Macaca fascicularis: one gene and its partners. The protein of the gene in region 1 purifies or fractionates together with the protein of each later gene. This does not show direct contact. Links are inferred from orthologs where the notes say so. Each region holds a gene or a part of one and is shown in the gene's direction. Other genes may lie near its edges.

Region 1 (3,500 bases):
AAAATTAACCAGGTATGGTGGCACATGCCTGTAATCCCAGCTACCTGAGAGGCTCAGGCAGGAGAACTGCTTGAACCCGGGAGGCGGAGGTTGCAGTGAGCCAACATCACACCACTATATTCCAACCTGGGCAACAAGAGTGAAACTCTGTCTCAAAAAAAAAAAAAAAAAAAAAAAATTGGTGGAGATATAAATACTAAAATGTGAGTTGTTTGGGAGTGATGAAGATGTATGTGTGTGTTTGTTTGTTTGTTTTGATATTTTTGTTTGTTTTTCCTGCTATGAGCATGTACTGGCCTTGGAACAAGAAGACAAGTCAAACACACTTTTAAAAATATATATGATTTTTAAGGAGACGTTAATGGGTATTGTTACAGGTTATTGGTATTACTGACCTGATGTGATAAGTGGGGAAGGTACTATGATATTGGTAGCAGCTGGCCTTGTAATGATGGCTGAAGAGTACAGAAGGAGTAAGTGGGTGCTGACAGAGCTGGTGTGCATGAAAGGAGGCCTAGTAGGAGAAGACTGAATGATTCACTTGTTCTGGGTTTGAGCCCTATAAACTGCTGTAATGAGGCTCTTTGGCTATGTGGTGGCAGTGGCCAGCTGCAGGAATTGTGTAGGATTAGGAAAATGGGGGTTGCCACCTACAGTGTTTTTGTTGTTGTTGATGTTTATTTCACTCAAGGCCCTTTTTCAGTAAAGTCATCACCTGGCCTTGGTCCCGTGGAACTGGCAGCTGTCATTGCTGGACCAGTGTGCTTTGTCTGCATCTCACTCATGTTGATGGTGTATATCTGCCACAACCGCACTGTCATTCACCATCGAGTGCCAAATGAAGAGGACCCTTCATTAGATCGTCCTTTTATTTCAGAGGGTACTACGTTGAAAGACTTAATTTATGATATGACAACATCAGGTTCTGGCTCAGGTAATGTAATTGTTTCTCCTTTTTCCTAAGACGTCTTTTTAAAATTAAGTGATACTTATTTTATTAGTTTGCTAATAAGCCAACTTGTTAGAATGTGAGATAATATAAATAATATTCCAGGTTTGAAACTAATAAAAATCTTTAAGCTTGATGTATATATGACTGTGGCTGGTTTAAAATAGATTGGAACTTACTTTAACTGATAAAGCAAGTCAGTCAGCTCCATGGTGGTATAAATTTCAAAGCGTTCTCACTTGTATGATCTAATTTGCTTTTCATCACTGTGAGGTAGAAAGGATAAGAACAATTATTCTCATATGGATGAAGCCGAAGTTCAAAGATGTTCAAATGATCTGCAACTAACCCGTTCTATTCAGGATTGTTTAGCAGCCTGATGTTTATATTTGAAAACAGGCATGATAAAAATTTATTCAGAATTGTGAAGGTTATTTGCTTTTTAAACATTATATGAAATTGTCTTTTGTATAGGCCTGGTTTTTTAAAATTAAACTAATGAACTCTTACGTCATTTTCTCACTTCAGAAAAATGTCTAATCACCTTCTTATTTAATGTAGTTTTGGCCCCTAATGAGATTTGCTTTTCCCAGTTCTATTTGTTGATATTTGTGGCATCAGAAGTAGATGAGCTAATTGTCAGAGTCATCCCAAGGTGGATTTTGGCATAGCAGTGCTTCATATTTAAACTGAAGGGGCGTTATCTTCTACTTTTTTTTGTATATGGTTTGGAAAAGTATTAAGAGAGGAACACTCCTATCGCCTGTGTTTTTAGAATTTGACACTTGGCTAAGGATAAATAGATCTAGGTTCCAAGGCAAGTTTTGTTGCTGATTGGCTGTATAACCTTGGTTAAAACATGTTTCCTCTTTGGGCTTCTGTTTCCTCATCAAAAATATGGAACCCATACTGCTGATAAAAACACTTCAAGTGGTTTGTTAAGACTTTTAAATGAGATATACTATCCTTTGAAAAGTATGAGTCGTCTTTAAATAAGGGCTAAATTCATGAATAAAGTGAAAATTTGGAAAGCATATATAGTGAAAATTTCACTAATTTTGGTGAAACCCCATCTCTACTAAGAATACAAAAAAATTAGCCGGGCATAGTGGCATGCGCCTGTAGTCCCAGCTACTCGGGAGGCTGAGGCAGGAGACTCGCCTGAACCTGGGAGGTGGAGGTTGCAATTAGCTGAGATCGTGCCATTGCACTCCAGCCTGGGCAATAGAGTGAGACTCCATCTCAAAAAAAAAAAATTCACTAATTTTATAACTGAGTGATATTAAAGGAATATTAAAGCAGAAATTGAGCATAAAATCACATCTAATGTTGCAGAAAGCTCATATAATGACAAATGTCTATTTATTTTAAGGAAATGAATATATATTGTTATGTATGCATATCTATTCATTTAAGAATGAAGAAACTGATTTTATTACCTGAATTATTCTTCTGTAGAATTTGGCCGTATGTATTCATAAGAGAACTCTCTCTTTGACTACTAGGACACATACAGGCTTGCACTGGAGCTCAGATCAGAAGGCAAGCTTAGGGATTCCTGAAACAGTTGTGTAAGGAAGACAATGAGAGTTTGGACTTAGATGGAGCCATCTTAGTACTGAAGGTGTGATAGTCTTTGGGCAGGAGTGGTGGACGGAGGTTATTTTAGAGCTTTCCTGGGACTTCCCATTTATTCTCAGTTCAGATCTTCAAAAAGATTTTGTTCATTCTAGAAGTAATCCTGCTCAAGACTGTGATAATCAAGGACCAGAGTCACAGAAAATCAGGATGGCTTCAGATCATTTGGAATTAATCCCTCAGACCTGTTGTCTTGTTTCTAAACTTACACTCCGGAAAGACAGCAGCTCATGCCACTTGCCACAGTGGAATAAGCCCACCTAATTGATTAAAGGAATTGGTGGGTGGGTGATAGTTGATTACTGAATAAGAATATCTTCATTAACCTTTTAAGAGATAAACATGAAAAAGAATGGAATAATTCTGTTTCCATTATATATATATATATATATTTCTAGATCCATGAGGGACCATAGCTCTCTGTTCTCTGAAAGCTTCTCTCCCTCTTTTTATGACTTACCCTGCAAAAACTTGTCTGCATTGCTTGCTAGCTCTGTAGCTTTGGGCAGTTAACCAATGTCTCATGCTTGAGTTATTTCATCTTTAAAATGAAAGTGATGGAGTCTGCTTTGTGCACATCATTGGGTTGTTGTGAGTTCAAGCAAGACAAAATGTTGGCATGAAAGCGCTTGGTAAATTGTGAAGTTATGTCCAAATGACAAGTGTTGCTCTTATTGAAAACATACTTGGAAGAAAAATCTAACATACATTATCAGTTGACTACATTGTACAAAACTTAGTTTAAGGCCTCCTTTACCTGTCATAGTTCATTGTGTACTGAATTCTCTACAAACCTATCTAGGCAGAAGCCATCTTCTGGTGAATAATAGCAGAAAATGCCATCTGTTTCCCTTCTATTCATTATAAATCCTTAATGCCACCTTAGGCATGAGAGTAGTGCCTGTGAGTAAGT
Region 2 (4,141 bases), on another chromosome or scaffold:
CTTCTTTCCCGCTTATCTGAAGTCCCCAATTATATCTATAAAGTAAGCCATACATGAGAATGAATTACTGGACAGGCACCCCCAAAAAAACCGTGTTCTAGTCTTGTCTCTGGCACCTGTGTGAGACCTAAGTTTCTTTTCAACTTTAGTTCTACGGTACTCCCTGCCTGTGTCACAGTGGGTGCATAGTAAACACCTGATGTGATTAGTTGGGCTCAATATTTTGTCAGCAGAGGCCTGGGTGCTCCTAAGGGTAAAAGCAACAAGGTTTTCCCTGGGTGCGGTTATGCCCTGGTCTGTGGTAAGTTTAGGGCCTTGCTGCCTCCTGTAGGGCAGATGCCCAAGCTGGGGCCTAAACGCCGCAACGGGAGAAAAGAGGAAGGGAAGATATCCCAGCCATTAGAGGACATTATGACATGCCTTTCTTTTAGACTTCACAGACCCTTCGGGACGTGGATTATTGATATCATTTTTACTGAAGACGGAACCAAGATTTAGGTTAAACACTTAGATCTGGCATCCCCTACCCGGGCCCTAAGTGCTCTCCAAAGACTCCACCTCTGGGCTTATTTACATCGCGAACCTACCCTCGTTCAGCAGCACGAGGGCCCCGCCCATTCATTTGCATAGGGCGCGCCCAGTCGCGGGACGGGTCCTCGGGCTTCTCCCAAACCCCCTTTCTCTCCTAGGCGCGTCCTCCGGGCTGCCCGGGGCCTCCCAGTGGGATGAGCACGTGTCCGCTGCCGGCCTCACGACGGACTGTGGACGAAGCGGCAGGCCCCCACAGGCCCTACCCCACGACGCTGGCGAGGGATCGGGCGGTCGCCGGGAATCGTCTTCCCGCGCGGCAGGGCGCAGGCCTTTCCCCCGCCGCCCCCGAACTCCGGTGGGAGCGCGCAGGAGTCCAACTCAAGCGAAACCGCGGGCGTCCAGCCCCGCCCGGCCGCGCCCCGCCTCGCCTCGCCTCACGCTAGACTGGGGAGGCGGGACCAATCAGCGAGCGACGTCTCCCTTCCGATTCGAGGCCCCCGATGCGCGGCTCACACCCCGAGCTCCCCGCGTGCTGATTGGCTGCGGGCGCCGCCGGTCCGGCCGGGAGGCGGGGCGGGCCGTAGGCAAAGGGAGGTGGGGAGGCGGTGGCCGGCGACTCCCCGCGCCCTGCTCGCCCCCCGGCCCTGCCCGCGGCGCTCGGCCTCGTTCCTTTCCTCCTCCGCTCCCTCCGTCTTCCGTGCCCGCCCCGCGCGGCTTTCGGCCGGCGTGCCTCGCGCCCTAACGGGCGGCTGGAGGCGCCAATCAGCGGGCGGCAGGGTGCCAGCCCCGGGGCTGCGCTGGCGAATCGGCGGGGCCCGCGGCCCAGGGTGGCAGGCGGGTCTACCCGCGCGGCCGCGGCGGCGGAGGAGCAGCTCGCCAGCCAGCAGCCCGCCAGCCGCCGGGAGGTGGGTGCGTGGCGCCGCGGCGGCCGGCGGCCGAGGGCGGAGGGCGGAAGCGGAGGTGGGTTGGCGGTGGAGGGCGCGGCCGTGCGGGCGGCCGGTAGGGCTGCGGACGCGCGCCTGAGGGGAGGAGGGGCAGCGCGGGCGCGCGCGTCCTCACCCCCTCCTTCCCCGCGGGCGGCGGCCAGGCTCCGTCCCCTCCCCTCCCCTCCCCTCCCTCCCCTCCCTCTACCCTCCCTCTACCCTCTACCCTCCCGCGCGCCGGGGCAAGCGGCCGGGCCCGGGCCTGGGGGCGGGGCGGGAAGACGGCGGCCGGGAGTGTTTTCAGTTCCGCCTCCAATCGCCCATTCCCCTGTTCCCCTCCCAGCCCCCTCCATCCCATCGGAAGAGGAAGGAACAAAAGGTCCCGGACCCCCTGGATCTGACGGGGCGGGACCTGGCGCCACCGTGCAGGTAAAGCCTGAGCGCCCGCGGGCCTCCGGCTAGGGGTGTGTTTGCGTGCGTCCGCGGCCCGGGCGATGGGCTGTGTCACATGGCCGCGGCGGGTGGGGGCTGGGGTGTGGTGAGTTCGGGGGCTGTGGGTGCGCCGGCCCGGGCGTGCGGGTTCGGGGCCAGAGAGCCGGGGAGGTACGGTGCTCGGCGGCCCGGCGCTGCCGCCCAGCCTGGCGGGGGTGGGGGCTGCCTGCGTCCCTTCCCCTCGCGGCTCTAACACTCCATAGTTTGTGGTTCTGATTTTTAAAGCCGAAGGGCCAGAGCTCTTGTTTCAGGAGTTGTGGGGAAGCCTTGTTAGGGGCGCGTAATACTTTGCCTCCACTTTTTTTTTTTTTGGTCCGGTAACCTTTGTTAACCATAGTAGTCTCGGGTTTTCCATGGCTTGTGTGTACTCACAAACACGCACACAGCTGATAACTGTGATCATCCTTCACTCACTTGTGAAAGTTCTGCGGGTGGAGCCTATTAGTTTTTATCACCCGCTTTTGGAAAAGCCCTCGAAGTGATTTCTTTTATTTCAAACTTGGTTTTCAAAATTGCAACTTACTTTGTTCTCTTGGAGGGGGATACTGTCCTTGGGTCAGGCCCTTTTTTGTCTTTTATTTATCCTTACGATTTCCTTTTGATCCTAAACAGAAAATACCTGGGTTGGTTTTGTTATTCCTTCCTCATAACACTTTAAAAGCAAAATACCACCAGTGTATTGTCAACCATATCTTTTAAAAAGAAATCTCCAGGGAAAACGAGTTTGCAAGCAGCATTTTCCATCAAAGTCATGTCTTGTTTGTTACAATTTGGACTATCTTAAATTTGGGTGTGTGAAACTTTTAAAATGTCATGTGTAAAATAATTGTTAATAAGTAAATAACTTGGAATAGTTACATCTTTTTAGAAATATCTTTGCGATGTGAATTTCCAAAATTCTTTTTCTCTCTTCTGACTTCATATGAATTGAACCTGATAGTTTCGTATGAATGAATCGCTGATAGGATGTTTTCCTTTAGCCTAATAATAAATTTGCTCTTATGCTGAAAATTTGCTATTCTACTTTAACCCCCGTTAAAAAAGTTTCTATCTTACAGAGAAGTTAAATTGTTAAATGGAGTTTCAACAGTTTTAATACATGAATTAGTGAAGCAGAGATGGAAGAAATAATTTAAAATGAGCTTCATAAATATACCATAGTTTGAGGGTTTTTAAAAAGTTTGCCTTCGGAAAACCCATACAAGATATTTAAAGAATTTCCTCTGCCAGAAGGTCATTTAGCAGACGTTTATATTAAATTCAAAAGTAATACTTTTATTTTTAAAGTTCCTTACCCTTTGCCGTAAACTAAGCTTTGGTAGTAAATATAAATAGTTCACATCTTTTGGCATTTGTAAAGAGTGTACCCACTTTTACTATAAATACTAAATTCTATTGGATTTAATTGAGTTCAAGGCAGTTCACTGGCCAGGTTTAATGTAACGTGATTGGAAACGTTGATTTTGGGGGTTTTAGTAAGAAAATGCTCTTAGAGCTTGGTTTTTATACTTAGCCACACCTTTTTAAGTGCGGCCACAAGCATTGTAGGTGTTCAACAAAAGTTTGATTTTTCAAGGTTGTAACCTACGTTTACTTAGTCATAAGTGGTCATGTCTCTACACAGTCTGTACGCTTCGTGAAATAATAGTCTTTTAAGAAACTGTGCAGGGTAATTTCTTGTTGTTTGTGACTTACCAGGCTTGGTATGTGTTTTAACTCTGGTGTAGGAATATTGGGGATGGTTTTGTGTATTTCAACAAAACTTCTCTTTGATAGAAACAAAGGTTGTTTCTATTCTACTTCAAGATGGCCAGAGGTGGTTGTCACCTTTTCATTTTCACATTGTAAATATTAGAATCATGTTGCTATAATCTGGTTACTTCACCTTTGGGGGAATATATGTGAATGGAAAAGCTCAGTTTAGCTGTGTAAACTGTTGGGCAAAGACCTATTGAATTTTTACATTTTGCAAATACTGTCAGTTTTAAAAGACTTTCCTTATTCTTTTTTGGTTTTGATTCTGTTGGTTTTGTGCTTTAGGGCTCCAAAAACCTCCTTTTGTAGCAGCTTTAAATACAGGTGTTTTTGTAATGCATATAAAAGCTGTATTTAGTGCAGCCTGGCAGATGGAGATTTATTCATATTCTTGGGACAAAGAGTCATTTTTAGAGGGTGGAGGGGGACATGTCTTTTAG
Region 3 (4,046 bases), on another chromosome or scaffold:
TTTACATTGTGCTAGATATTTTCACATGTATATGCATACAACTTCTATTCTGCTTTTAAACTTTGCATTACATATACATTCTTCCATAGTATATGATCTTCATAAAAATAGTTATATGGCTGCATAAAAAACCATGCGGTTCCTGGACCATTATGCTGTTCCCTCATTCCCCTTTTGGTATTAATGGAATATAACAAAGAACATCTTCTGTACGATTATTTGTCAAGAATAGGGCCAGTGAGGTGGCTCAGGTCTGTAATCCCAGCACTTTGGGAGGCCGAGGCGGGCGGATCGCTTGACGTCAGGAGTTCGTGACCAGCCTGGGCAACATGGGAAAACCTAAATGTCTCTACTAAACATGTCTCTACTAAAAATACAAAAATTAGTGGGGCGTAGCGGTGCACACTTTTGGTCCCAGCTAGTCCAGAGGCTCAGGTGGGAGGATCACCTGAACCCGGGAAGTTGAGACTGCGGGGAGCCGTGATCGCACCACTGTAGTCCAGCCTGGATGACAGAGAGAGACCCTGTCCAAAAAAAGAAAAAATATTTCTAGCAGTACAGTTACAAGGTCAAAGGATAAGGCGCACATTTTTAAAAAAAAATTTCTCCTCCTGAGATAACGAAATACAGTAGTGTATTAACAACTCTTCACACATTACTCTCCAAGGTTTATCTTGTTAATCCTTTAAGACGTATCATCTCCCTATCCTTGGCTGCACCTGAAAAGAGCGGGAGTCGGCAGGTAACCCTATCTCCTCCACCAGGTGAGTTCCGGATGGAGGTGTCAACTACAAGACTAGGAGCAGAGCACTCCTGGGGTTTTGCTGGAACCATCGGCGTGGGAATGCGGTCTCTTCCCTCGTCCGAAAGACGCTAAGTTCCCGGGAGGCAGCGGACTCGGTTCTAACCTTCCTCGCCCCAGTCTCTAGGAGCGCCCTGCACGCAGTGGGCGTCTAATAAATGCAGTCGGCGCTGTTGGGACAAAAGCTCTCCCTTAAGTGGACCGGACACTAAATCCCTCCAGGTGTCACAGAGCTGCCGCGCCCGCCGCCACTTTGCTCCCTGCCTGCTCCCTCCCCGCGTTCCTCGTGGGACCCTCCGCGGCAACTTACACCCTTTCTGACAGCCGGTGCCCGCCCGGGGCACCCTGCGCGCGCCCGACGACCCCGCCCTGGCCCCGCCCCGCCCCGCTGGCCCCGCCCCGCCCGCCGGCCCCGCCTCCCGTCTCCTCCCCGCCCCCTGGAGCAGACGAGTGGCGGCGGCGGCCCGAGGTCCCGGGTCCCTCAGACAAGAGGGCGGGTGGAGGAGGAAGCGGCCGAGCCCAGAGTCCTGCTCCGGCGTCGCCGAGCACCGCCCGCCTCAGCCGACCAGCCCCGTCGGCTACTGGGCCTCGCCGAGACGAGAGGAAGGAAAGGCCGCTGCGCCCGCGAGGAGGCGGCGGGGGCGCGGGCGGAGGCGGCGCGGGCGGCCGCGGCTGCCGCTTTGTTGTGCGGCCCGGGCCGAGGAAGGAGAAGTGGGAGGAGGGGGGAGCTCGGCGTCCCGCTCCCTCCGCGGCTCATGGCGACGACGCTCGGCACATCCGGGACCCTCCGGCCGTGGCGGCCGCGGCGCCGGCTGCTCGGGCCCCAGCCCCGGCCGCTGTGGTGACTCCGCCGCGCCTCGCCGTCGCCCCCGTCCCCGTCCCGCCCGCCGCCCCCGCCGCCGGGGACATGTCTAACCCCGGAGGCCGGAGGAACGGGCCCGTCAAGCTGCGCCTGACAGGTGAGGGGGGGCGGCGGGCCGGGCTGGGCAGCCGCGGGGTGGGCGAGCTGGCGGGGGGTGCCTGTGGCCTTAGGAAGGGCCAGTGTCGCGATCAATGGTGAGTTGGGGGTCGGAGGAGTGGGAAGGCCTAGTTCAGGGAGAGTAATTGGAAAACCACTTGCTACGGCTTGGGCATTCTTTAAAAAGCCGAGGATGACTCGGGGCGGGGGGTGGGGGTGGTCTTTTGTGGAGGGGAGGATACACCGGTTCGCATCGCAGGCGGATTTCAGGTCGGAAAGTCTTGGTCAAGGAGCCCGACGCTGCCTCCCGGGTCTCGGGGAGCAGCCCCTGGGCTACCGCCCAGGTGGGATCGTGAAGGGGATGAAGAGCTCCCGTGGCGAGGATTATTGAATCCGGTTGCTGACTGCGCGCAGTAAACACTCCTTAAAGATGGAGCGCTTAACGGGAGGGTGTGCGTGTGTGTTCCCGGGTTGTTACCTTGCACACCCACTTATGCCCGCATGAAAAACCTTTACTCCCCGCCGCCGGCCACCGCTGCCGGGGCCACACACCTTGAACTCACGTCTCTCTGAGGAGAGGAGACAGGTTGACTTTTCCGGTGTGCCTGTCTGATCCGACGGCTCGGGCTCATTGTACACTGTGTTTTGGAAGTGTCTGATTGTAGGGTGGCATGTTTGGGGTTGTTCCTTGTAGGCCGCAGAACTCGTGTCTCACTTCTAACTCCCGACCTGCTTTAAAAACACACTTTTTTGGGGGGAGGGAGGGGGTACATTTCTAAGTATGTCCTCATACAAACTTTAGAGCAAACTTTCTGTTACTCTCCCCACCCTCCCCCTTCCTTTTTCTAAATGGAAAAGTATGTCCGGAGGGGTTGTCAGATAGAAGACTACACTTACAAAGTGTTTATGATTCCAGGTGCATGAAATCTTTAATATTACAGGTACGTTTTACTTACAGTGCCATTTTTGGTATTCTTACATGGACATGCCACCCCCGTTTTAGGAGCACTTGTATTTGGTTTGAAAAGGAATTGAAATCACGTCGTTATCCTACCTTCACCATTTACCCCTGATAAATTGTCCACGTTTATATTCGGGTGAGTGGTGAGAAAGATAATTTTCCGTAGAGGATTTGTGTGTGCGTGCACGTGTACGAATCAACTGTAATTATGTTTGCCCACACTAGACTTTGAGATTTATTTGGACTAATTTTGTAGTTGAATGCTTATGTGTCACATCTCAGTCCACTGGCTGAACTTGCTGGGTGAAACCTTGCAGTGAATTTGGTATTTGAGAATTTAGCTTGAATGTATGTTGGCTGCAATTTAAATAATATATTACCTTCATGACAGTTTTCCTTTCCCTAGGGAAAATTGCAAGGAATCATTAACTGAGTGGTTCTTAATGAAAAACCTGGATTGCAGGATACTTGTATTCCCCCTTCTCCCCCGCTCTCCCCCATTCAGTGTCCTTATATTGGGAGGAGACAATGGAAACCTTTATAGGGGATCTTTGTTGCTTTCGAGTTTATCTGTTGCTGTTGCTATCTGGAGTCAGTGATCGTGGAAAGAACATGTGATCCCAGGTGTGCAGAAAGCATCAGAAATTGGCTGTTTCCATTTACTTTCCTCTGGGCTATATAGATGAGGGAAAAAATAGGGATTTTGATTTTCTTCAAATAAAGTTAGTTGAGGTTTTTAGTATGACTCAGTAGATCTTAAAGTGTTTATCTGTGGTTTCCGTACTACCTATGATACGTTATAAAAATTTATAATTAAAGTTTGTTAAGAGGAAAGATTATGCTTATATTTTAGGGGAAGAGGGAATATTGAACTACATTTATAGTGATTTTGTTTCAGGTTTTTCTGAGGAGTTTTAAATACCCTGTGTCCTCTTAATAGTAAAAACAGTTTGAGGTACTCTGAGTTTCTTGCAACTATTTGTCTCTGAATCGTTTTCTCTCAAAATTTGACAAATATTAAAAACATTGTCCTTCCTTCTTTGGTTACAGTGGAGTCTCTTCTGTTTTGCCAGGAAAGTTAACATTTTTTTTTTCCATTTTTGTTCATCATTTACAAATTAGATGGTATAGATTTTAGCAAATAGATCTCAAGAGCTGGATTCAATTAGCAGCTTTTTAGGACATAAACATTAAAGGGTTAGATGGAAAAGATTGTTTTGACTGACTGGATAGATGACGGGGCTGTGTTTGATGTGCGTCCAGGAATTGGTCTGGAGCTGGTGCCCAACTTCTCAGTCCATCTTGAGAAGCCAAATAAAATATTT
Region 4 (4,215 bases), on another chromosome or scaffold:
GCGGGGGGTTGGGGGGAGAAATAGCTTTTAGAAACCCGATCTGTTGTTTGCGAAACACAATCGCTTTTTTTTTTTTTTTTTAAAGCGACAGGGTGTCTAGACGGCCACGTGACGAGGCCGGAGCCGGGCGCGCCACTGCGCAGTGGAACCAGCCGAGCAGAGGGCCGGAGGGGGGGTGCGGGGGGGCGGGGAGGAGGCGGCGGCGGCGGCGGCTGGGGGCGGGGGAGGGAAGGGGGAGGAAGGGGGAGGGAAGGGGGCGGGGGCGGGGGCGGGAGGCCTTGCGGGAGGCGGCGAGGTCTGGGCACACTCGCTTGCTGCTCGGCGCACTGAAGATCTTGTCCCCGAGCCGCGCCAGCCGAGCCAGCCGGGCGCCGTGCTCGGTCCGCTCGCCGCGCGGGAGAGAGCTGCCCGAGACAGAGCCAGTCCGCCGCCGCCGAGCCGCCGAACGCCCGGCCCCTGAGCCCCAGAGTGCGGCGCGGCGAGCCCCTGGCGGCGGCAGAAGGACCAGAGCGCCAGGAGAGGGCGGACCGGGGACAAGGAGGCTCCCGGGCGCGACGAGGAGAGTCTCGGAGGAGGAGGCGCCGAGAGGACACCGGGGCCTCCTGCCGCCGCTGCTGGGGCCAGGCGAGCAGCCCATGCGGGGACCCTCGGCGGGCAGCCGCGGCCAGGGGAAGGGACACCGGCGGCCCCCGCACTAGCAAGCAGCTTGTGCCCAGGGGGGGCGAGAACGCGCGACCCGCCTGGGGCCCTCCGCCGCCGCCGCCGCCGCGCCGCCCTCCCCCGCGCTGTCAGCCCCGCCGGGCTCAGCCGCCGCCGCAGCATCTTCTGCCCCTGCGCCCCCGCCAGCCTCGAGGAAGTCCCCGCCGAGGACCTGGGCCCCCAGGAGCGCAGGAGGAAAGACCAGAGACTCCCCTAAACCACCCAGATGCGCAGGATTGAAGCGGTCTAGCCAAAGCTTTCTGTGGATTAAAAAAATACACGATTTTTTTTTTTTTGGCAGAAGGAGAGGAAGACCAGCGGGGCTTTGCAAGGAAAAAAGGGGGGGATGTAACTCGTGGATACATTTTTCCACCCCTCAAACATCTTGTTATACTTTGTAAACATTTTCTTTTTTTAAACCCCAGCTCCAGCCGGACGCCCCCAGACCTCAGAGGTTCGAGGAGGTGGTGTTTTTCATTTGGGGCTTTGCATATTTGGTTGTTAGGTTTTGCGAGAGCCTTCTTATTTCGCCAGACATCTCATGCGGGGTGAAGTCCACTCGGCCCCCTCCCCTGAGTCTTCGTGTGCACGGAATTCGAGGAGATCCGGTTACTAAGGATATAGAGAAAAAAAATAAATTGCGTGCTTGCTTTTTTTTTTTTTAATTGCCTGCTTCTCCCCACCCCCAAATTAAGTTGCTTAGCAAGGGGGAAAGAGGCTTTTTCCTTCTTCCAGCAGCCCAGCCGAACGCCTTTCGCTTTTTTGCCTCCGCGGACCTTCCATGTAGGAAGCCGAGGCTGGCGAGCCCGACATTCGGGAGCCACTGCGGGGGGGCCTCTTTTTGGGGAGGCGCCGACGGGGGCAGGCTCGGCCGTCCCCAGGGAAGCGGCGGCCGGGTTCCTCCGGGGCGCGCCGGGGCCGGAGAGCCGCGCAGGGCGCGGGCCGCGCGGGGTGGGGCAGCCGGAGCGCAGGCCCCCGATCCCCGGCGGGCGCCCCCGGGCCCCCGCGCGCGCCCCGGCCTCCGGGAGACTGGCGCATGCCACGGAGCGCCCCACGGGCCGCCGCCGCTCCTGCCCGGGCCCCTGCTGCTGCTGCTGTCGCCTGCGCCTGCTGCCCCAACTCGGCGCCCGACTTCTTCATGGTGTGCGGAGGTCATGTTCGCTCCTTAGCCGCCAAACGACTTTTCTCCTCGCCTCCTCGCCCCGCATGTTCAGGACCAAACGATCTGCGCTCGTCCGGCGTCTCTGGAGGAGCCGTGCGCCCGGCGGCGAGGACGAGGAGGAGGGCGCGGGGGGAGGTGGAGGAGGCGGCGAGCTGCGGGGAGAAGGGGCGACGGACAGCGGAGCGCATGGGGCCGGTGGCGGCGGCCCGGGCAGGGCTGGATGCTGCCTGGGCAAGGCGGTGCGAGGTGCCAAAGGTCACCACCATCCCCACCCGCCAGCCGCGGGCGCCGGCGCGGCCGGGGGCGCCGAAGCGGATCTGAAGGCGCTCACGCACTCGGTGCTCAAGAAACTGAAGGAGCGGCAGCTGGAGCTGCTGCTCCAGGCCGTGGAGTCCCGCGGCGGGACGCGCACCGCGTGCCTCCTGCTGCCCGGCCGCCTGGACTGCAGGCTGGGCCCGGGGGCGCCCGCCAGCGCGCAGCCTGCGCAGCCGCCCTCGTCCTACTCGCTCCCCCTCCTGCTGTGCAAAGTGTTCAGGTGGCCGGATCTCAGGCATTCCTCGGAAGTCAAGAGGCTGTGTTGCTGTGAATCTTACGGGAAGATCAACCCCGAGCTGGTGTGCTGCAACCCCCATCACCTTAGCCGACTCTGCGAACTAGGTGAGAAGTTGTCCCCTTACCCCCAGCATTTTCCGGCGCGCCAGTGCTGGAAGAAAAGCCCTTAGGGCAGTGCGTTTGTGCAGCCACCCCTCCAGGGGGAGTGTGCATCCCCTCCTGGGAGGAGACTGGGGGCCGAAAGTAGAGAAGGGACACGGGGAAACTCAAAGGGCATTCCCTGGGGTTTCCCTTCCAGGATTTCTCCTGTGTTGCCCCGAAGGGGTCTATGGGCACTGCTCCTGCACACAGTTTGCGGTTAAAAATTAGACGCCTTCATTTCCGGATCAACAAGGGGGTGCAGAGGGAGATGGGGGGGTCACGCCTCCCCGCACCCGGAAAGGCGTTGAGGTGTGTGACCGAGTTGGATTTGGTCCAGGCCCGCCAAGGAAGGCTGGGAGAAGCATGCTATAAAAAGGCTGGAAGGTCTCCGTATTTACTCCTTCAGTAAATAAGGAGAATCACGTCGAACACAAGTGGCCCAGACACTGTCGTGGCCGCGCAGCTTTGGAGTTTTGGGGCAAAGAGAGTTGGATGGAAGGCCGAACTGGGTATCTGTCTCATTTCAACTCTGCCAGCCCCAGGGTGCAGAGGAACAAACAGCCAGGAGAAGTTGGGTGTCCCCTACTTTTTCCTTCCTTCCGCACAGATAAGTCTATAGATTAGTGGGGCCCTGCGCCTCGGTGACGTTGTCGCCCCTTACTGCGCTGGGGCCAGGGCTTCTCGGCTGAGACCCTGAAACTTCTTCCCTTTTATCCTGTCAGCTTTCTCCATTCCTTCCTTTTCTGTATGTCTCTGTACACGGAGTGTGATGTGAGGGTTCACCCCGGGCGACCGCAGATCCCCCAAGTTCACCAGCACGCTTGGGCTGCATCTCCCGAGTGCGCTGGGAATGGGGAGCCCCGTGTCCCTCGCGCGGGTGCCCAGCGGACCGGCGGGGGCGGAGGTGAATTGCACCCCTGGGGGGCGGGCCAGGGCGGGGAACCGAGGTTGCTGGGAGCTAGGTCTGGAGTCCGAGAACGGGGAGGGGGTATGGTCGCCCCCCGCCTGTGAACTGTGAAGTGCGCGGCTCCGGCTGAGCCGGTGGTTTCCAGCCGGGCCAGCCGAGCGCGGCGGCGGCGGCCGCAGACGTGGAGGAGCGGAGCGCCGAGGCTGGCGCCAGGCGGCCTCTTTTGTTTATCTGACAGCTAAATATCAAGGCAATCACCGCCTCGCGGCCCTGCCTCCAACCCCCACAGCTAAGACAAACAGTTGGGCTAAAAGAATGCTTCTGTTATCATAAGTTTCTATCTCTCTTCTCATGGCTGGGCCTTTATTTTCTCTTGCTTTTTTAATTTCAGAGTCTCCCCCCCCTCCTTACTCCAGATACCCGATGGATTTTCTCAAACCAACTGGTGAGTAGATGATTTTTAAAATATCCTTCCTATCTTAAGTTAGAAATAGAGCCTCTAGAACCTGGCTTTTTGTGTGTAGGCAAAGGCTTGGAGAGGTGCTGGACTTGCTTCACTTCACGTTGGTTCTAGGTTTCCTCTGTTGGAAGTTTGGTGAATTTTTCTGTTGTGACTGGGTTTTTGTTTTGTGTTTTTGCAAAGATGTTCCCTTGATATGCTTTACATTTTGTTCCTTTTTCCTGTATTTGCGCTCTGTAGCCGGTGGGCTCAGCTTTGATACGTGGAAGCTTTAGTCCAGAAAGAAGTGTCTTG
Region 5 (3,500 bases), on another chromosome or scaffold:
GCACCTGGCCGGGAATGGCATTTTCTTGGCGTGGCTTCATCTCCAGGTCAATTTCCCTTTGACCCTGATACCTCTTCACATTCCTGCCTTTTGACTCCCACACTCAGCGTACAAAGCAGCTGGGTTGTGGGTTTCCTGAAACCACAGGATGGTAGAGCAACCTGCTCCCCGCCTTCTATGATTGTGGAAGCCAGGAGTGGGGACATCTGAACCAGAGCTGTGATGTCCAGGTCCTCCAGCACCTGTTGCTGTGCCGCCCCCACACAGGTTCTGTGTCTGCCCAAAGCTGTCCTCTCTTGCAGCCCCGGGTCTGGCCGTCGTCAATGTTGTCTGTCTACCCAATGACCCCACGTGGTGGCAGAGCTCTAACCTACATCCTCCTGTCTTATTTCAACAGAGAGAACGACATCACGCCTGTACTGGACCACACCTTCTGCGTGGAACACAACGCCTTCGGACGGATCCTTCAGCATGAACTGAAACCCAATGGCAGAAATGTGCCGGTCACAGAGGAGAACAAGAAAGAATACGTCCGGTAATGCCACCTGGGGGGACGGCCGGGTGCCTGGGGCGAGGCTGAGCCTGCGTTTAGTTGCCTGTGGGGGACGGCCGGGTGCCTGCGGCGAGGCTGAGCCTGCGTTTAGTCGCCTGTGGGGGACGGCCGGGTGCCTGCGGTGAGGCTGAGCCTGCGTTTAGTCGCCTGTGGGGGACAGCCAGGTGCCTGGGGCGAGGCCGAGCCTGCATTTAGTTGCTGTAGCTCCTTCGCTGTGTGATGGCTGGCACTTGTGATCAGATCACATGAACAGAGGCGACTTTCAGAAACCAACAGCTCAGCAGCAGCATCGGGGATCTGCTTGGAGGGGCCCTAATGGGGCCAGGCCTGGCCTGAGGGACAGAACCCATGTGGGGAAGGACTTTTCAGTGACCACCTAATTATGGATGCAGAGGTCAGAGGCAAAGGAGAGAGCAGTGGCTTTGGAGGGTCTCGGTGCTCCGTCCGAGGAAGCCACCCTCTCAGTTTTTTTCCATCCCTAACTTGAGGCAAATCCATGTTCAGGCCTCGGCACTTGCAGCTGAGAACTATGTGGGCACGTCTGTGTGCCACGCTGTCCTGTGCTGTACTTTCAAATGTACTTTTACACATTTAAAATTGTTTACATTTTTATAGGGTCTTGCTATGTTGCCAGGCTGGTCTTGAACCCCTGGCCTCAAGCGATCCTCTTGCCTCGGCCTCCCAAGGGGCTGGGATTCCAGGTGTGAGCCACTGTGCCTGGCCAGAACATGCTTTCAAATTGCAGCAATTGATGTGACAGATCAGGTTCAATCCTCCTGTTTTCAGGGGCGAATCGGAATGAATCAGGGCATGCACTGAGTCATTTTTAACGTGATGCCAAGGTTTGGTACTACTAGCTGGTGGTATGTCTGTCTTGGTGGAGAGATCTGGGGGGGATCCCAGTGTGTTCCCATGTTTGTCAGACTGTGGTATCAGAACCGGCTCACAGGTCAGGCGCGGAGGCTCACGCCTGTCATCCCAGCACTTTGGGAGACCGAGGCGGGCAGATCACCTGAGGTCAGGAGCTCAAGACCAGCCTGGCCAACATGGTGAAACCCCGTCTCTACTAAAAATACAAAAATTTGCCAGGCGTGGTGGCGGGTGCCTGTAATCCCAGCTACTGGGGAGGGTGAGGCAGGAGAATCGCTTGAACCCAGGAGGCAGAGTTTCCAGTGAGCCGAGATTGCGCCACTGCACTCCAGCCTGGGTGACAGAGTGAGACCCTGTCTCCAAAAAAAAAAAAAAAGGAAAAAAAAGCCTGCCCATGGTGGAAAATCCACTTGGTGTTGCATCCAACTTGCGAGTTTTTCTTCCAGGCTGTATGTAAACTGGAGGTTTATGAGAGGAATTGAAGCCCAGTTCTTAGCTCTGCAGAAGGGGTTCAATGAGCTCATCCCTCAACACCTGCTGAAGCCTTTTGACCAGAAGGAACTGGAGGTAGGTGCCTGCCGTGCGGAGTTGACCCAGGGCGTTCGGGGGCTCCCCTGTGGCTGGCGTCTGCCTGTTTTAAATCCTTGCTGCGAGCGGCCGTTTCCTAGTAAGCCTAGGAGCTGTTGGGGTTCCCAGACTAGAGCAAGAGTGGGGAGTAGAAGGTGTTTATGCCGGTTGGTAACCGGCGAGATGTCTGCCTGGCGGTAGGAAATCTGAATAGTTCCCGGAAAACTGGTCAAGGTGGTTGTGGCTTCCCTTGTTTTCAGGGTATCTAGCGGGGGAGAACCAGGTGCTCCCACAGCAGTAACTTACTGCTTTTTATTCTGGCTGTTCCTAGACTAAGAACAAGGGGCTATTGTATTCTCTAGTCATACTGCATGTGCTTGAACACGGTGATTCATTCAGCCCTTCTCCATCTCTGGTGCCAAACAGCTCAAGCCTTGTAGATTGTTCTCCAAGTTTTTCTGCTGCCAGTGAGGAGAGCTTGGGAGCCAAGAGCTTGGATGGAGCAGTAGTTCTGGGGTGAACGTTTGTGTTTTTTTTCTTTTGAGACAGCCTTGCTCTGTTGCCCAGGCTGGAGTGCGGTGGTGCAATCGTGGCTCACTGCAGCCTCGACCTCCCAGGCTGAAGCAATCCTTCCACGTCAGCCTCCCAAGTAGCTGAGGCTACAGGTGCCCGTCACCATGCCTGGCTACTTTTTGTATTTGTTGTAGAGACAGGGTTTTGCCATGTTGTCCAGGCTGGCCTTGAACTCCTGGGCTCAAGCAATCCGCCCAACTTCAGCCCCCACAAAGTGCTGGGACTACAGGCATGAGCCACTGCACCTAGCAGGGGGTGAACTTTTTAAGCCAGTTGCACAAACACGCCCCATCAGCCCCAGCCCCACGTAACTCTTGCGGAATTCTCCTCTCTTCAGACTCGAAACTCCACATGTCCTTGAGTGTCCTGGAGAGACCCTGGGACGTGCCCTTGTTCATGGTGGTAGCTCTGTTCAGTGTCACCCGTTGGTGCTTTGATACTGCTCACCCATGCAGAGCAAAAACCCCGCTTTGGTTATAAGACAACGTCCCATCAGCAGCTGTGCACTGTGGTCCTTGGGGTTGGAGACCCGTCTGGAGGCGGCGGACGGAAGCATGTGCCACAGGCCTCCTGTGTGTAGCTTTCTTCCCATCTCAGCGTCTGCCTAGTTTATTTAGACACAGCTGCTGCTTTGCTTGGGAACCGACTTTTCACTCGTGTGTGTGTCGGGTACCTAGGAGACGCATCCTGACGTGGGTTTATACATTTTGGAAGTAACTCACCTTTCTGCACCTCCTCAGCTGATCATAGGCGGCCTGGATAAAATAGACTTGAACGACTGGAAGTCGAACACGCGGCTGAAGCACTGTGTGGCCGACAGCAACATCGTGCGGTGGTTCTGGCAAGCGGTGGAGACGTTCGATGAAGAAAGGAGGGCCAGGCTCCTGCAGTTTGTGACTGGATCCACGCGGGTCCCGCTCCAAGGCTTCAAGGCTTT
Region 6 (3,500 bases), on another chromosome or scaffold:
GAGAATGTGGTAAGTGCCAAACAATTCTACATTGACAAAATAAATATGGGAATAAAATATAAAATAGCTAATAAAAATAAACACACAAGGTACTATCAGAATATAATTATACAAGTCTGTATTGTCTCAGTTTTGTTTATAGTCAGATTATAGTCCTAATCCACTTTCTTATTCACGTAAAACACATTATGGAGGTAATTTCAAACCCAGGAAGCATGAAGTCTGTAGCAATTTTAGGCCAAAAGTTTACAGTTGGAAGGAAATAGGAATTTATGTTATAATAATTATGTGTTACATGTTTGTTCTGTGAAATCATAACAAATGTCAAATGCTATATGTTTGCACTGTGAAATGACAAATGTCAAATGCTTCATTTCTTTATATACATTACCAATTCATGATTAATAGTATTGTAAGGCAGCCTATTTTTTGCCTTCCTAAATCCCCTTATTTGAATTATAAAGTTATCAAGAATGTCATTTGATCCCTTTTATCTTTGAAAGCTGATATATTTAGTATTCTTTCTTGCATATCTAATTATTATGGTTTCATAACCCATATGTAAAGATCACATTATACAAAAATAAGTGTTTTTAGCAACAATATATACCATCTAAATGAGGATAAGTTGAGAAATTATTTGCAACAAATATTTAACATTTAACCTAAAAGGTAACGTACTAATTATTTTTATAAAGAGGAGCAAAACAAATTATTAGTCAGCTATATGTATGGTACTGTAAGTTTGATTTTAACCTTGAATCTACTAAGTGACCACTGTTACATTAAAAAGTTTTGTTTTACTGATAGAATGAAAACATTTTTAAAGTTTTTATCTTTGTAGTACTGAACTTGTTTGATTTCTGATTTTACTTAAGCCGATATGTCAAAATATCTACTGAAACTGAAGAAACTGAAGGATCCCTACACTGCTGTAAGGACCAAAATATTAATGGGAATGGCCCAAATGGCATACATGAAGAAGGCTCACCAAGTAAGACTTTTCTGTTAAATTATAAAAATGTTTCACTTAAATAATTGCTTCAGAGAGAAAGTTAAGAAAATGGGAATTAAAGAGCTAAAAAATACCTGCAAACCTACGACTAATAATATTAATAATTTAAAAATATAACATTGAGTTTATTTAAAGTTCTCTAATATCTAAAATTAGGTGAAATGGAAACAGATGAGCCAGATGATGAATCCAGCCAGGATCAAGAACTTCCCTCAGAGAATGAAAACAGTCAGTCTGAAGATTCAGTTGGAGGAGATAATGATTCTGAAAATGGATTATGTACTGAGGACACTTGCAAAGGTCAACTCACGGGACACAAAAAACGATTGTTTACATTCCAGTTCAACAACTTAGGCAATACTGATATCAACTACATCAAAGATGATACCAGACATATAAGATTTGATGATAGGCAGCTTAGGCTAGATGGTAAGTATTTGTGAAAAATGGCTTGAACATTAAACAAGCAGAGCATGTTTTTTTGTTTTTTAGGTGAAAACCATGAAATTCAGCCCTGTCAAGAAATACACCATTTACTTTTCTATCTCAAATTTTATATGAAAGGACTTAATATCTAAGTAGACCAAAATGTGTGTCTGTGTTTCATAAATGGAGATTGAATTCATGCTTAAGTTTTCTATCTTTTTTTAAACTTTTAAATTATTTCAATGGCTTGGAAACTGCTATTTGCCCTAATCACCTGTACAAGTAGAAAAGATTGCTATTTATTTATTCTAGTGTATATCCTAACATTAAAATATACTTTAATACTAAGACATATTAAATTTTAAAGAAAAAATATGTTTTCCACCTTAGAAAGATCTTTTCTTGCTTTGGATTGGGATCCTGATTTGAAAAAACGATATTTTGATGAAAATGCTGCTGAGGTAAGTCATCACTCACTTATTTACCTTTCCTTGATTTACTTTATGTGATTACCAGAGATAATCATACTGTTGTGTTACATTCTTTGCTTCCACCAAATGTTCATTTTGCCAGTAAAAAAGTGGTCATGAACTAGAAAAGAAAGTCTTTGCAAAAATACCTTTTTTTCCCCAAAGGTTCAGAGTTCATTTTGAACATGTTTTGCTCATCCATATAGGAGTGTACAGGAATTATTTAGAAGTATGATATAAATCTCAACTGAAATAAGCTTTATGATTCTTTTGAGAAAGTTTAGGAGTTTTCATTATTATTCATAGTAAGATGGTACCACTAAAATGAGTTTTGTTTCATTTGTTCTCTTAACTCAAGAAATACTTCTCTTTAGGACTTTGAAAAACATGAAAGTGTGGAGTATAAACCTCCTAAAAAACCCTTTGTGAAATTAAAAGATTGCATTGAACTTTTTACAACAAAAGAAAAGCTAGGTGCTGAAGATCCCTGGTAAGAGACAAAATTAAATAATTGTTTATGTTTTCTTTAAGGGTTTATTCTGAGATACGTGCCACATTAACTTGAAAAAGTAATTACTAAATTCTCTTTGATGTTTTAAATAGTAAAGGATTCTTTATATAAGTGGTAGCCTTTTAAGAGGGATAGGAAGTTCTTAAAAAATACTGTTACAGTGTTGCCTTAATTTTATTACTGTGTTTTTCCTAATAGCCATTATACTATTAATAATTCATTTTAGTTACTTGTTTTCCAAGAAATTTTAGCTACGTAATCATTTTGAGAGAAGCTTTTTAGGAAAAGTGTAGTGATATATTTTGTGATGTTATTCCATTAGAGCCCAGTTTTGAGATTTTCTAATACCTATCTTCCAGCACAGATGTCTTTTTTGCATACTAAAAGAGAAATAATCTAGCCCTCATTATGTCTTTAAATATTGGTTTGTATATTAATTTATAATGGTTTAACCTTTTTGGAAAATGTGTTGAAAATAAAAATAACAAGAGTTGCTTTCAACCTGGTACATATTAGGCATACGATAATTGCCCACTGAATAAATGTAGAACTTTCCGAACATTTTTTGTTATTTTCATTAATGGGGGTTGTTTGTACCTCTATCAAGCTTTAAATACTTCTCTTTATTCTTAGGTATTGTCCGAATTGTAAAGAACATCAGCAAGCCACAAAGAAATTGGATTTATGGTCCTTGCCTCCAGTACTTGTAGTACATCTCAAGCGATTTTCTTACAGTCGATACATGAGAGACAAGTTGGATACCTTAGTTGATTTCCCTATCAAGTAAGCTTTAATTGTATTTTATAAGTATTGAGCAACTCTTCTTTCAAATTTACTTGATGCTTTTTGTTATTATCCTTTAGTAAATATCAGGTGCCATTGGATCCAATTTCAGCTTTCAAGTTTGTTTTTGAGTAGTTCTAACAATTTATAAGGATCAGTGTTTCAAAATTTTTATTTTTTCTTAGAGATTTTCCAAAGACCAAAGAGGAAATATACTTTTAAAAACTAAAAACAATAAAACTCCTTTTGTGTTATATTACCTATGGGTTAATTGGTCTCATTTATAAATCTAAGA
Region 7 (4,141 bases), about 43 Mb from region 1:
CCCCACCCCCAACTCACCCCGTCTTTCAAATGGCAGGCTTAAATGCCAGCCCCTCCAGGTGGCCCAGGCTTCCTTCTCTGAGCTTCCATGGGCCTGGCCCTGGGTGCTACCTCTGAGTAGCACCATGGTGGGCACATAGTAGGTGCGCTTACTGTTTGCAGAATGAACATGGGACAGTTTGGGGACTGTCACCCAGCTCAGGGAGCACTGATGGGGAAGCATCTCCCGTATGTCCCAGGGCTCAGTGCTGTAGCGTCCTCACCCTCAGAAATCTCATAATGACTTAGCCAGGAAGGCATCGTGCCCCACTTTGCAAGCAGGGGGCGCTGAGAATTGAGGGGCTTTGTCCAAGGTCTCATGGCTCAAGCAAGCAGAGTAGGATTTGAACCCAGGGCCATGTGACTTCAGAAGTGCCATTAAAGTCCCCATCATTTGGAGTTTTCTTTTTTTTTCTTTTTTTGAGACCGAGTCTCACTCCATCATCCAGGCAGGAGTGCAGTGGCCTGATCTCGGCTCACTGCAACCTCTGCCTCCTGGATTCAAGTGATTCTCTAGCCTCAGCCTCCCAAGTAGCTGGGACTACAGGCGCATGTCACCATGCCCGGCTAATTTTTGTATTTTTAGTAGAGACAGGTTTTCACCATGTTGGTCAGGCTGGTCTTGAACCCCTGACCTCAAGTGATCCACCTGCCTTGGCCTCTCAAAGTGCTGGGATTATAGGCTTGAGCCATTGCACCTGGCCTGGAGCTGTGTTTTGTCCATGAAGGATTTTCCACCCAGGAAGGGGTCAGATATGAAGTGTGTGGCCCTGGGCAGCTACTCTGAGCCCAGAGACCCCAGCCGTAGCCACCTTGCTGTGCCACAGTTTTCCCGCCTGCTAGGCAGCCCCATGTCAATTGCACTTAGTAGGCCGGGTTTGGTGCCTGACAAGACATGAGGTGGTGGAGGTGGGCAGGATCCCAGCGCTACCCTCTTCTTGAACCAGTGATCTCAACACATCGGATCTCTGTTTCCTCATCTGCAAAATGGGATCATTGAGCTCAGGGGGTCACAAATTCCACAGGAACTACTTTAGCCAAGCCCAGCCCCGTGAAAGGCCCGCTCGGTGGGCTGTTAGGGTGATTGTTTTCATCTGTGGGGCTGCCTGATGCGTCCCCACCCGCCGGCCTTGGAGAGGGTGGGATGGGAGGGTGGGGTGCTTGGGGAGACAAGCCTAGAGCCTGGGCCCTCCCACCCCACTGCCTCCCCCCATCCCAGGGCCCCCCACCCAGTGACAAAGCCCGTGGCACTTCCTCTACCCGGTTGGCAGGCGGCCTGGCCCAGCCCCTTCTCTAAGGAAGCGCATTTCCTGCCTCCCTGGGCCGGGCTGGATGAGCCGGGAGCTCCCTGCTGCCGGTCAGACCACAGCCTTCATCTGCGCCCTGGGGCCAGGACTGCTGCCGTCACTGCCATCCTCTGGAGCCCAGCACCCCTCCCCGCCCATCCTTCGGACAGCAACCCCAGCCCAGCCCCGCGTCCCTGTGTCCACTTCTCCTGACCCCTCGGCCGCCACCCCAGAAGGCTGGAGCAGGGACGCCGTCGCTCCGGCCGCCTGCTCCCCTCGGGTCCCCGCGCAAGCCCACGCCGGCCCCGGCGCCCACCCGCAGCCCTGCCTCTGGACACCGGATAAGGCCCAGCGCACAGGACCCCGCGTGGACGGCATGGACCGCGGCGCGCTCCCTCTGGCTGTTGCCCTGCTGCTGGCCGGCTGCAGCCTCAGCCCCACAAGTAGGTGTCCAGGGACCCGGGGTGGGGAGACTCGGCCTCTGGTGCACAGACCAGGCCCCAAGTACTCCCGGCCTCCTTCCTGTATCCTGAGCTCACGCCCAGCGGAGTCATCCATGGGGCTTTGGAGGGTCACCGACCCTCCCAGTTTGCTGGAACTAAACGATTATACAGGACTTTCAGTGTTGGAAAGCCTCGGGCAAACTGGGCTGACTCTTTCACTTCAACCCTGGTCTCTGGCGTCTGCTCACCCAGCTGTGTTCCATTACTCCCCGGGAAGCCTAGGTCCTAGAATGCTGTGCAGCCACAGGAGAGTTTCCTGCCCTCTCTGGGCCTTGAGTTTCCCCGTGAGGAATGGATGGGAAGGAGGGCCCATAGCCTGGGTTCTGAGCACTGGCTCTGGGTTCAGATGTCACATAGGCACTTCCTTGTGGTGTGATCTTGGGGGACTGCCTTCGGGCCTCTGAGCAAAGCGGGAATGACAACAGACTTCCCTCAGCTGCCGAGAAGGTTGGTGGTGAGGGATCATTGCAGAGAGGGCTCTGACAGACTGGCCCCTTCTGTGTTGTTTTATTTTTAAGTTCCTCCAGCTCACCTTCCCCAGGGCCTTTGAGTAGCTCCTAAAACCGAACAGGCCAAGGCTGCAGGGCCCTGCTCTGCCTCCCTCCCACCTCCCTGATCTCCAGGAAGGGTGCGGGAGTGGGTGCCGGCCAGGTTAGGGATTCTGTGGGGGCTCCTCAGCCTGGGGGGCTCTTCCAAGGGGTCATGGCCTGTGCTGCTTTCTGAAACTGACAAGAGGAGGGGCCGTGAGGAGCCAGGGACCCCCAGCCCCACGTCCCACTCCCTATCCCTCGGCCACCTCAAGCCACTGGCCGGTCCTGTGGACAATCCTTTGACCCACCTGCGCATCCAGGGGCTTTCTGATGGATCTGGGGGAAGAGGGGCAGAAGGGGGCTGCGAGTGTGGGGAGGAAGGGGAAGGAAAACAGCGGTGGGGCAGCCACCGTCTCCTCCCGTCCCCACCTGACGGCATTTTAGAGTCCCTCATTCTAGGTCTCTAAAGCTCTGCCCACCACCTGACTGATAGGAAACTGAGTCTCAGACATATTAAGTGACTTAGCAGGGATTTGACTCCTAGCCTGAGGCTCCCTAAATGTTTGCTCCTAGCAAGGTGTGATAGGGCAAACCTTCTTAATGCGGCTCACAACGACCCTGCAAGATGGCTGCCGTCATCGTCCCCATTTTACAGAAGAGAAAATGGAGGCTCTAACCTGCCAAGTTCACACGGCTAAGACGAAGCCCCTACCTAAGCTCCAAGATCTCCCTCCCACGCATTGCTCGCTGCAGTAACACTCTCTTCCTCTTGGTCATTACAGAAAGGTGCATGCAGACATTTAGGGCCTGGTTTTTAAGGATCAAAGGCAGTGGTGTGCTGGTAAATAATTAACAACAGGGTGGGGGGCTCGGTCTGTAGCGTTTGTGGATTTCCACAGCGTTTAAGTACTCCCACCTGGCTGACTTCAAGCCACCAACTCACCAAGCTTGTGGATGGGAATCAGTGCCCAGTGCACCTGGCAGTTGGTTCTCCAGAGTCTCTGCAGGCGCAGATCACATCAAGAGCAGAGATGACAGTCAGGGGTGTAAAACGATTAGGAAGAAATGCGTTTGGACATTCGTGCTCTTTTAAAAATATATAGTAATAGCTATGTAACAGCCAGTTGGAGAAACTCCTGGAAATGTCTCAGTCTGCTTCTATGAACAGGTAGGAGCTGGTCCCAGTGCACCAGGGGTCACAGGCTCAAAGATACAACAGACCATCAACCCAACTCATTTATGGTCTGGGAAGCTGAGGCCCATGGAAGGCAGAGGGGAGCCTGGGACCAGGGCCTGGAACCCAGATCTCCATGCCGGGGCTGGGGGTAGGAGTGACCCCGACATCCTAGAAATGGGTCTAGAATTTGGGGCCACCACTTGGAAGAATCTCCTAAAACTGTACCTTGCGTGTAACTTGTTACCCTCACAAATCAACCTTCAGAAGTCAGCCTTCTAGAGTTACTCGTCCAACTCTGTAAAGATGTGTGGTCCATGGGTACCTGTAACAAAAATCCAGTAACTGGAAATGATCTAAATGTCCATGAGCAGAGACTCTTAATAAATTACCATGGAGTATCATGCAATAGGCACCAAGAAGACAGAGCTATATGAACACTGCCATGGATGGATGTCAGGGACACACTGTTAGGTGCCCAAACAACAATAATTCCATTTCGGCAACATTAAAATAGTAATAATGTACAATATGCAATAGAGAAAATTCTGGAATAGAATTTTCTATTTAACCCACTCTCACTGTTCTGTGGCCTGGGGTTTTCTCTATG

What was found.
Region 2: the proteins of TGFBR1 (region 1) and SMAD2 purify together in Homo sapiens (affinity purification with western blotting; 8 studies listed by BioGRID and IntAct, with this or other methods). This does not show direct contact. The link is inferred for Macaca fascicularis from reciprocal best matches to the Homo sapiens genes TGFBR1 and SMAD2.
Region 3: the proteins of TGFBR1 (region 1) and SMURF2 purify together in Homo sapiens (affinity purification with western blotting; 8 studies listed by BioGRID). This does not show direct contact. The link is inferred for Macaca fascicularis from reciprocal best matches to the Homo sapiens genes TGFBR1 and SMURF2.
Region 4: the proteins of TGFBR1 (region 1) and SMAD7 purify together in Homo sapiens (affinity purification with western blotting; 19 studies listed by BioGRID). This does not show direct contact. The link is inferred for Macaca fascicularis from reciprocal best matches to the Homo sapiens genes TGFBR1 and SMAD7.
Region 5: the proteins of TGFBR1 (region 1) and SMURF1 purify together in Homo sapiens (affinity purification with western blotting; 3 studies listed by BioGRID). This does not show direct contact. The link is inferred for Macaca fascicularis from reciprocal best matches to the Homo sapiens genes TGFBR1 and SMURF1.
Region 6: the proteins of TGFBR1 (region 1) and USP15 purify together in Homo sapiens (affinity purification with western blotting; 4 studies listed by BioGRID). This does not show direct contact. The link is inferred for Macaca fascicularis from reciprocal best matches to the Homo sapiens genes TGFBR1 and USP15.
Region 7: the proteins of TGFBR1 (region 1) and ENG purify together in Homo sapiens (affinity purification with western blotting; 5 studies listed by BioGRID and IntAct, with this or other methods). This does not show direct contact. The link is inferred for Macaca fascicularis from reciprocal best matches to the Homo sapiens genes TGFBR1 and ENG.

The regions. Positions count from the first base shown.
Region 1 is NC_088389.1:58,992,357-58,995,856, reverse strand, and holds part of TGFBR1 (TGF-beta receptor type-1), read left to right. Parts: intron 1-691; coding exon 692-934; intron 935-3,500. UniProt on the Homo sapiens protein: Transmembrane serine/threonine kinase forming with the TGF-beta type II serine/threonine kinase receptor, TGFBR2, the non-promiscuous receptor for the TGF-beta cytokines TGFB1, TGFB2 and TGFB3.
Region 2 is NC_088392.1:41,863,437-41,867,577, forward strand, and holds the start of SMAD2 (mothers against decapentaplegic homolog 2), read left to right. Parts: upstream 1-1,341; 5' UTR 1,342-1,436; intron 1,437-1,797; 5' UTR 1,798-1,883; intron 1,884-4,141. UniProt on the Homo sapiens protein: Receptor-regulated SMAD (R-SMAD) that is an intracellular signal transducer and transcriptional modulator activated by TGF-beta (transforming growth factor) and activin type 1 receptor kinases.
Region 3 is NC_088390.1:71,251,091-71,255,136, reverse strand, and holds the start of SMURF2 (E3 ubiquitin-protein ligase SMURF2), read left to right. Parts: upstream 1-1,246; 5' UTR 1,247-1,709; coding exon 1,710-1,761; intron 1,762-4,046. UniProt on the Homo sapiens protein: E3 ubiquitin-protein ligase which accepts ubiquitin from an E2 ubiquitin-conjugating enzyme in the form of a thioester and then directly transfers the ubiquitin to targeted substrates.
Region 4 is NC_088392.1:40,812,622-40,816,836, forward strand, and holds the start of SMAD7 (mothers against decapentaplegic homolog 7), read left to right. Parts: upstream 1-1,415; 5' UTR 1,416-1,905; coding exon 1,906-2,518; intron 2,519-2,950; exon of another isoform or gene 2,951-3,063; intron 3,064-3,852; coding exon 3,853-3,906; intron 3,907-4,215. UniProt on the Homo sapiens protein: Antagonist of signaling by TGF-beta (transforming growth factor) type 1 receptor superfamily members; has been shown to inhibit TGF-beta (Transforming growth factor) and activin signaling by associating with their receptors thus preventing SMAD2 access.
Region 5 is NC_088377.1:47,609,424-47,612,923, reverse strand, and holds part of SMURF1 (E3 ubiquitin-protein ligase SMURF1), read left to right. Parts: intron 1-397; coding exon 398-535; intron 536-1,869; coding exon 1,870-1,990; intron 1,991-3,303; coding exon 3,304-3,500. UniProt on the Homo sapiens protein: E3 ubiquitin-protein ligase that acts as a negative regulator of BMP signaling pathway. Mediates ubiquitination and degradation of SMAD1 and SMAD5, 2 receptor-regulated SMADs specific for the BMP pathway.
Region 6 is NC_088385.1:69,325,284-69,328,783, forward strand, and holds part of USP15 (ubiquitin carboxyl-terminal hydrolase 15), read left to right. Parts: coding exon 1-9; intron 10-878; coding exon 879-994; intron 995-1,171; coding exon 1,172-1,444; intron 1,445-1,831; coding exon 1,832-1,902; intron 1,903-2,285; coding exon 2,286-2,401; intron 2,402-3,055; coding exon 3,056-3,205; intron 3,206-3,500. UniProt on the Homo sapiens protein: Hydrolase that removes conjugated ubiquitin from target proteins and regulates various pathways such as the TGF-beta receptor signaling, NF-kappa-B and RNF41/NRDP1-PRKN pathways.
Region 7 is NC_088389.1:16,137,664-16,141,804, forward strand, and holds the start of ENG (endoglin), read left to right. Parts: upstream 1-1,341; 5' UTR 1,342-1,370; coding exon 1,371-1,767; intron 1,768-4,141. UniProt on the Homo sapiens protein: Vascular endothelium glycoprotein that plays an important role in the regulation of angiogenesis. Required for normal structure and integrity of adult vasculature. Regulates the migration of vascular endothelial cells.